2 linked regions of the Arabidopsis thaliana genome follow. The protein of the gene in region 2 purifies or fractionates together with the protein of the main gene of each other region. This does not show direct contact. Each region holds a gene or a part of one and is shown on either strand. Other genes may lie near its edges.

Region 1 (3,754 bases), on a different chromosome or scaffold from region 2:
ACAAACAGTAGAAGAGAAAGCCCAGGGAGTGAGGAAAAGGGCAGGCATGTCAGAAGGAGCCCTACCAAAAGTGTTAGTAGAAGTCCGGTGCGGGTGAAAAAGGAAAGAGATATTAGTAGAAGTCCTTCAAAGAGTTTAAGCAGAAGTCCACTGAGGAGCCCCAAAAGGGTCATCAGCAGAAGTCCAGTGAGAGGTAGGATTGCCAGAAGCCCTAGCCGGAGTCCTGTAAGATCTGCATCTCGTGGAAGCCTTGGGAGGGGCCCACTAAGAAGATCGTCAAGAAGATCACCTAGCAGAAGTCCAGTTCGATCTTCTAGAAGAAGCCTGAGCCGGAGTCCTATTCAATTATCTAGAAGAAGTCTGAGCCGGAGTCCCACTCGATTGTCTAGGAGAAGCCTAAGCCGGAGTCCCATTCGATCACCTAGGAAGAGTGTGAGCAGGAGTCCAGTCCGATCATCTAGGAAGAGTGTGAGCAGAAGTCCGGTTCGTTCATCCAGGAGACGTATCAGCAGGAGTCCAGTCCGATCATCTAGGAAGAGTGTGAGCAGGAGTCCTATTCGATTGTCCAGAAGAAGTATCAGCAGGAGTCCTATTCGATTGTCCAGGAGAAGTATCAGCAGGAGTCCTGTTAGAGGAAGAAGAAGAATTAGCAGAAGTCCAGTTCCGGCAAGGAGAAGGAGTGTGCGGCCTAGATCTCCTCCTCCTGACCGCAGAAGAAGTTTGTCAAGAAGTGCTTCTCCTAATGGGCGCATAAGGAGAGGGAGAGGATTTAGCCAAAGATTCTCATACGCCCGTCGATACAGAACTAGTCCATCTCCTGATCGATCTCCTTATCGCTTTAGTGATAGGAGTGACCGTGACAGGTGAATAGCCCACACATAATATAACTCCCCCTTTCTGTTACACACTCTCGTACTGAACCGTCTTTTTTATAACGTCTTCTCTGTAGATTTAGAAGTCGCAGAAGGTTCTCGCCAAGTCGGTTCAGAAGCCCACTAAGAGGAAGAACACCTCCAAGGTACTTATCCTCTTTAGTACATTGTTTCAGCTGATTCTTTACATCTAAAAGTTTCATGAATATGGAACTAAAATTGGTGATCCAAAAGAATTATTCTTGATTTCACAACTCGAAAGTATGCTCAGGTATAGAAGAAGAAGCCGCTCAGTATCGCCTGGTCTCTGTTATCGCAACCGGCGGTACAGCCGCAGCCCTATCCGTAGCCGATCTCCACCTTACAGAAAGAGAAGGTCACCATCCGCTAGCCACAGCCTGAGTCCATCGAGGTCAAGATCAAGATCAAAGTCATATTCAAAATCTCCCATTGGGACGGGGAAAGCAAGATCAGTGTCAAGATCACCATCCAAGGCAAGGTCTCCATCGAAGTCGGATTCGACATCCTCGGATAATAGCCCAGGTGGGAAAAAGGGATTAGTAGCCTATGATTAATGAATAATGATTACCCTTAAGTTAAGTGTTTGTTCTTTTTACTGAGAAGAGATGGTAAAGAGAGTAAGTAGTTTACTTCTGTAAAACATAAGCATTGTCTTTTGCGTATGTTTGTTTGATTATGCTCCAAGATTGTTAAAAATTTCTGTTGATGTTTGCCGACATTTTTTCTTTGTTGCCATTTGCCGACAAATGTTAACTTCCATTATTCGTTGCGGAGTTGGTTTTGGTCCAATAATTAAACTTTCATAAAATTAAGCATAACTAAATGTGACGTTTGTCACCAAACTTTAGAACAACGACATCGTAATTTATTTATTTGGATAATCAATATAATTTACGATTTCTTCCTACATATATATCATATCACTATACCACCGTCATTATCACTATCACTAAATATAAAAATGTTAAAATGATTTCTTAATGGAATTTTTTTTGTTAAAAGTTTATTGACACAAAAAATGAATTAAAACTCAGAAATCTGTATACTGAATTAAAACTTGTAAATATAACAACAAAATGGGATTAAAAAAAGAAGTGGCATCCATTTAAAAATTATTTGCGAATTCGCCCGTAACTTCTTAAGCTAACAATTAGAACCTAATCAACACTAGTTATTTTGAGTCCACCGACAGGTGATAGCAAATAAAAAAGAACAGGCTGGTACCAGAGCCAACAACAACGTGGCTTCTTCTTTTTTTTTTTTAATATAATCAAACAATCATACTTTGTCCTATCTCTTTCTTGCAATAAGATTTTGCCACGTCACATACTAAGAAGCTGGCGCGTCTAGTGGGGAAGCCAGAACGGCTCACTTTAAAAAGTAGAGAGATGATAACTTGAGCCGAATAGAGCCGAGCTGAGCTAAAACGGTGGGAGAGGAAGAGGCTACTACTACCGTCACCATCTCCGGTAAAATAATGTACTTGTCATTTAAAAATTAAGAAAAAACACATCACTCTGCGATAAAATAGGCAAAAGCAGATTTGAAGAAGAAGCAGCTTGAGATATCAAATAGAGAGAGAGAGTGACAGAGGAGTGTGTGAACATCCTTTTTTAGTAGATTTGGGTTTTCGAGATGCCGTATTGAATCGGCTACGAATTTCCCAATTTTGAATTTTGTGAATCTCTCTCTTTCTCTGTGTGTCGGTGGCTGCGATGGAGGCCAGTGCCGGCTTGGTTGCTGGATCCTACCGGAGAAACGAGCTCGTTCGGATCCGACATGAATCTGATGGCGGGGTCTGTTCATCTTCCCTTTTTCCCATTTTTTTGTTATTGTTTTTCGTTCTTACAATTTTTGATGTGTAGATCTCATCTAGATTTCTCTGTTTCTAAATCTCGTCTCTTTTGGATCCATAATTGGATCATTGAAACTCAGATTTCGCTTCCTTTGACTGTGTAGTTAGTTAGTGTCAGTTGATCAAGTAAGTGTCTGAAAATGGAAACTTTTCTGCTCCAATTCTTCAAATTGTTGTGATCTATATCAATTAATGCCGCATCTGTTTTCTTAAAATCTCTTATGGAAAGTGTCGGTGGATTTCAGTTCGTTAACTTTTTTAAGCTAAAATCTTTGACTCTTAAAGTTTAGCTTTACTTATTGAGATTTAGCTCAACTAGATCTCGTTAGTTCCCGCCATGGGATACAGACTGTGACTCGCCTTAATTCAGATCTGCATTGATTGTTTTGATTTAGATCCTTGCTCATCTCTTTCTGTAGTTTCTAATACTCAATGACTAACAATGATGCAATGTTGGTCAAAGTGCAGACCAAACCTTTGAAGAATATGAATGGCCAGATATGTCAGATCTGTGGTGATGATGTTGGACTCGCTGAAACTGGAGATGTCTTTGTCGCGTGTAATGAATGTGCCTTCCCTGTGTGTCGGCCTTGCTATGAGTACGAGAGGAAAGATGGAACTCAGTGTTGCCCTCAATGCAAGACTAGATTCAGACGACACAGGGGTCAGTTGTCTTTTTCTTTTTGTTGGCAATTGCTATATATGGATTTTCTCTTTTTGTTTCTTTGCTGTTGTGTTGAACAATTTTTTGGAATTTTCCAGGGAGTCCTCGTGTTGAAGGAGATGAAGATGAGGATGATGTTGATGATATCGAGAATGAGTTCAATTACGCCCAGGGAGCTAACAAGGCGAGACACCAACGCCATGGCGAAGAGTTTTCTTCTTCCTCTAGACATGAATCTCAACCAATTCCTCTTCTCACCCATGGCCATACGGTAGGGACCTACATTTTCCCTTTAGACTCTAGAGTGATTTGTATTACTCAATAAATCCCTAGAGTGGTCAT
Region 2 (3,754 bases):
ACTACTAATTATTGCAAGCAGTACAGCCACTACGAAAGCATCAAATCAAACAGTATGAATACATATTGCTACACAACAAACAAGTAAAACAGATACCTACAAGGAAAAAAGAAACTTGTCTGTGATTCTTTTCAGCAGCAAGTTGCGCAGGGGTTAGCCCAGTCTTGTCAGTAATCATCAAATCCTCTTTCTTTCCAGCCTGCACCAAGACAGTGCAAGCCTCCAAATTACCTCGGATGGCAGCCCAATGCAGAGGAGTGCAACCTGATAACAGAATCAATATAACGGAGAAGATGTTAGAAACGTATAGTTAATCTAAGAAAATAAACAAAGAAGATTTAAAAAAAAAATATGTTTGTAACCACCTTCTTTGTCTTGTCGTCCTCTATATGCATCTAGAAATAAAAGTAGGCGAATGGAATCTGCAAAACCTTTATATGCAGCCCTGAATTTCTCAAATTATGAGAAGAATATAAAGACGAAATTAGAACTGTCTTCTGAAAAGATACTGTAAAAATAGGATAAAATCAAAAGGTCAACATAAGAAAGCTAAAAATCATGCAGTAGAATAATCCATGTAACGGTAACGAAGTCTCAGTAAGAAAAACGGGAGAGAAAATAACCTATGTAACCTTAGTCTCTAGATGGAAAACAGTAATACGTATTCACAAATCTTCATAACAAAAACTCGAGAACTATCATAGGCAAATAGTTGACAAAAATTAATTCTAATCCACCCAGTATACTTGGCAACTAGAACAAAATTGAACGAAGAGATATTAAATCTATAGGAATAATAAGAAAAGGGAACAAATAAAACCAATTATCCAGTCTCCAAATAAGCGTGCAAGGCTAAACAATTGTAAGAAAAAATAAAAAGAAGCCAAAAACCAATTACTAAGTAACAATTTCACGAAGGCAAGCTTTGCAGCAAGCATACCAATGCAAGGGGCTTCTTCCATCATTATCAGGCACGTCAGGATCAGCATTCCACTTTGAGACAACGTGACAAAGAAAAGCAGTCTGGCCATACTGTGCGGCAACATGTGTTGCCTACAAGCAGTTCAAAATTAAGTATTAACATACACCCATTGAGAACTAAACAAGAAAAGAAGGGAAATTTGATAGAAGTCAGCAGAGAACATGGACGCGTAGTTAAAGAAGAGATATGAACCTGATAGCCATACATATCCGTTGCATCTACTCTTGCACCCTCTTGTAATAACAGTTCTGCAACTTGTATCGCACCACGAACAGCACTCCAATGCAATGCAGTCTGTCCAGTATGATCCGTCGCGTTTACATCTCCACCATGCTGGAAAAACCAGAAATCGAGAAGGATCAGTTTTAGAAACTTGAAAACCACTAGTTCAAATCTAATTTAGCAATCAACAAACAATTCGTAAAATGACACAAAACCTCGATAAGGTACTGGGCAACGGCGACGCGGTTGTTCAAGGCAGACCACTGAAGAGCATAGTAGCCAAGAGCATCAGGCTCGGAAACAGAGGAACCCTCACACTCAACCAATCTATGAAGCTTCTCCAAATCACCATAAGCGGCAGCAGTATAGACATCGTTCTTCAAGCTCTCTTCTTCAATCCCTTTAGAACTCGATTCCCCATTCTCCTTGGGATTCGATTGGATTTCTTCCACCACCTCAATCTCCGATGACATTTTTTTCTTTTCTCAGAAGAAATTGAGATCGATCGAGATTCGATTCCCTCCCTAATGGATTTTGACCTTTGATTAGTCTCCCCCGAGCATAAATAAGTCGTGAGATTTGGGGGGAAATGAGGGAAGGAGCTAGGTTTTTTCTGGGGGAATCAGAGGAAGAAGAAGAAGAAGAATATGATTGACGAACTCAAAAAATTGACTAAGAATCGGATTAAGACGGGTCAGAGACAGACTTGCTCTCAATTCTTATCGTTCATTCATTTCATTAACTTTTTTTTGTCAAACAAAACCCAACATTATTTTATTTTTTGGTTTTAGTGTTAACCAAAAAAAAAAAAACCAACATTTATAAATTGATTAATTTCATGATCATTTTTTTTTGTATGTAATGGGAAATATTATACCTGGCTAGTTGAGTGATATATATATAGTTCAATGGAATATGAACGAATCAAAACATCTGTCTTAATCATAAGAGATACTTTTTCATTTTTCATATCTTGACAAAAAGAGTTATATTATAAATGTTAAGAAATCTTTTATAAAACCTTGAACTATTGAATCATTTTGGGACAGTGATTTCTTATTTTGATAAAAAAAACACTGGTTTGCATATATATATAAAAAAAGTATTATTTTGAAAATGCATACTCTTGTATTAATAGATGAAGAAACATAATGGAATGATTTTAGAAGAAAAAAAAATATATGAAGAAACATAGTACGTTTACTAAACCAGAGAAATTGCTTTTAAATAATAATAATTTTACAAAAGTCAACTAAGTTCCGCGACGAGATCTCATCATCTCAGTTGCTTATAGTATGTGTATATATCACTGTTAGTTTTACTTTAATTCACTAACAACTAGTGTAACATAATTATTGATGAATCGGGAAAGTCTAAGCAACTTTCACACATATTAGAATAGATTGTAGATGGGCTTCATATCATTCGGATTGTATAACCCAAAGTTTTGTTCAGTCCCGACCGGCTTTTGATTTTCATTGAAAGTTGCAAACAAAAACCCGTCGATGCCTTTGTTAGGCCTTTTAGGTGTACCTTTTCCGCTTGCTATATGCTTCACGAAATTTCTGTTATAGGTACCCGCGATATCCGGCGTGGTAATGTTTCCATTCCCGGCAGATGGCCATCCGGTCTCGGACACCACCATTGGTAAATCTTTAACGCCTTCCTTCTCCATTGCCCACACGAACGCATCAAAGATTGCATCAAACATGTTTGAATAGCCCAGTGATCCATCTTGTACCACGATGGCCTCAGTGTTGAAGGTGGCATAGTCCAAACGGATGCTAGATGGGTCGGACGCATAGGAGAAGTAAGGGTAGATTTTTACGAGGATAGGCGAATTTGTTTGGGATAATAGTTTCAGCACGGGGACAAGTTGTTCACGCGCTTGAGACGTGAACATTCCTGCGGAAGGTGGGTATGATTGCTCGAGGTTCCACATAGCCACCACCGTGCTTATCGAGATAGGAAGATTCCTTGACTTGACGAGGTTGGTGAGAGACTGCATGACTGGAAGCACTTGAGGACCGATTGGTCCGGGGATGACTTCGTTACCAACAGTAATGAACGCGATGTTGATGTCGGATAAGTAAGGCTCGATGTTGGTCGCAAACCAGCCCTTAACAGCTTCTTCGCTAGCTGAAAGAGCAGCCAAGTCCTGGTCCCTAACTCCTACTGTGACCGCAATATCACGATGGCCACGTAAAGCGTTAAGAACCTCAGTGTTTGGGTCGAAGATTCGGATTTTAGTGATGTCTATGGACTTGTAAAGGGTTATAACTTTTGACGGAGATGGGAGGTTATCTCCGAGGAGACCGTAGTTCAAGCCAATGCTATTTGCTGCGTTTACGAAGCCAATGCTATTTGCTGCGTTTACGAAGTCACTATTGTTGTAGTTGACAATCACCACAATGCACGAGAAGAAGAACAAGAAGAGTTTCTTAGGCAAATAGAGCATGATGAAACTTTTTTTCTGCAAAATGTGTGTATATAGAGATATCCTAAGATCGTACTTCTATGAAGAAGAAGAAGAGAACCAAACTTGATTTG

The links. Proteins that work in one complex are often made in the same cells at the same time.
Region 1: the proteins of TIP1 (region 2) and CESA1 purify together in Arabidopsis thaliana (affinity purification with western blotting, with the first as the bait; one study listed by BioGRID). This does not show direct contact.

What each region holds. Positions count from the first base shown.
Region 1 is NC_003075.7:15,645,243-15,648,996, reverse strand, and holds the start of CESA1 (cellulose synthase 1), read left to right. Parts: upstream 1-2,152; 5' UTR 2,153-2,608; coding exon 2,609-2,689; intron 2,690-3,216; coding exon 3,217-3,412; intron 3,413-3,510; coding exon 3,511-3,683; intron 3,684-3,754. Other genes in the region: AT4G32420 (Cyclophilin-like peptidyl-prolyl cis-trans isomerase family protein), read left to right, coding at 1-863, 950-1,018, 1,144-1,447. UniProt on the Arabidopsis thaliana protein: Catalytic subunit of cellulose synthase terminal complexes ('rosettes'), required for beta-1,4-glucan microfibril crystallization, a major mechanism of the cell wall formation. Involved in the primary cell wall formation.
Region 2 is NC_003076.8:6,874,695-6,878,448, reverse strand, and holds the start of TIP1 (Ankyrin repeat family protein with DHHC zinc finger domain-containing protein), read right to left. Parts: upstream 2,009-3,754; 5' UTR 1,678-2,008; coding exon 1,420-1,677; intron 1,316-1,419; coding exon 1,175-1,315; intron 1,054-1,174; coding exon 941-1,053; intron 446-940; coding exon 366-445; intron 265-365; coding exon 101-264; intron 1-100. Other genes in the region: BG5 (beta-1,3-glucanase 5), read right to left, coding at 2,598-3,662.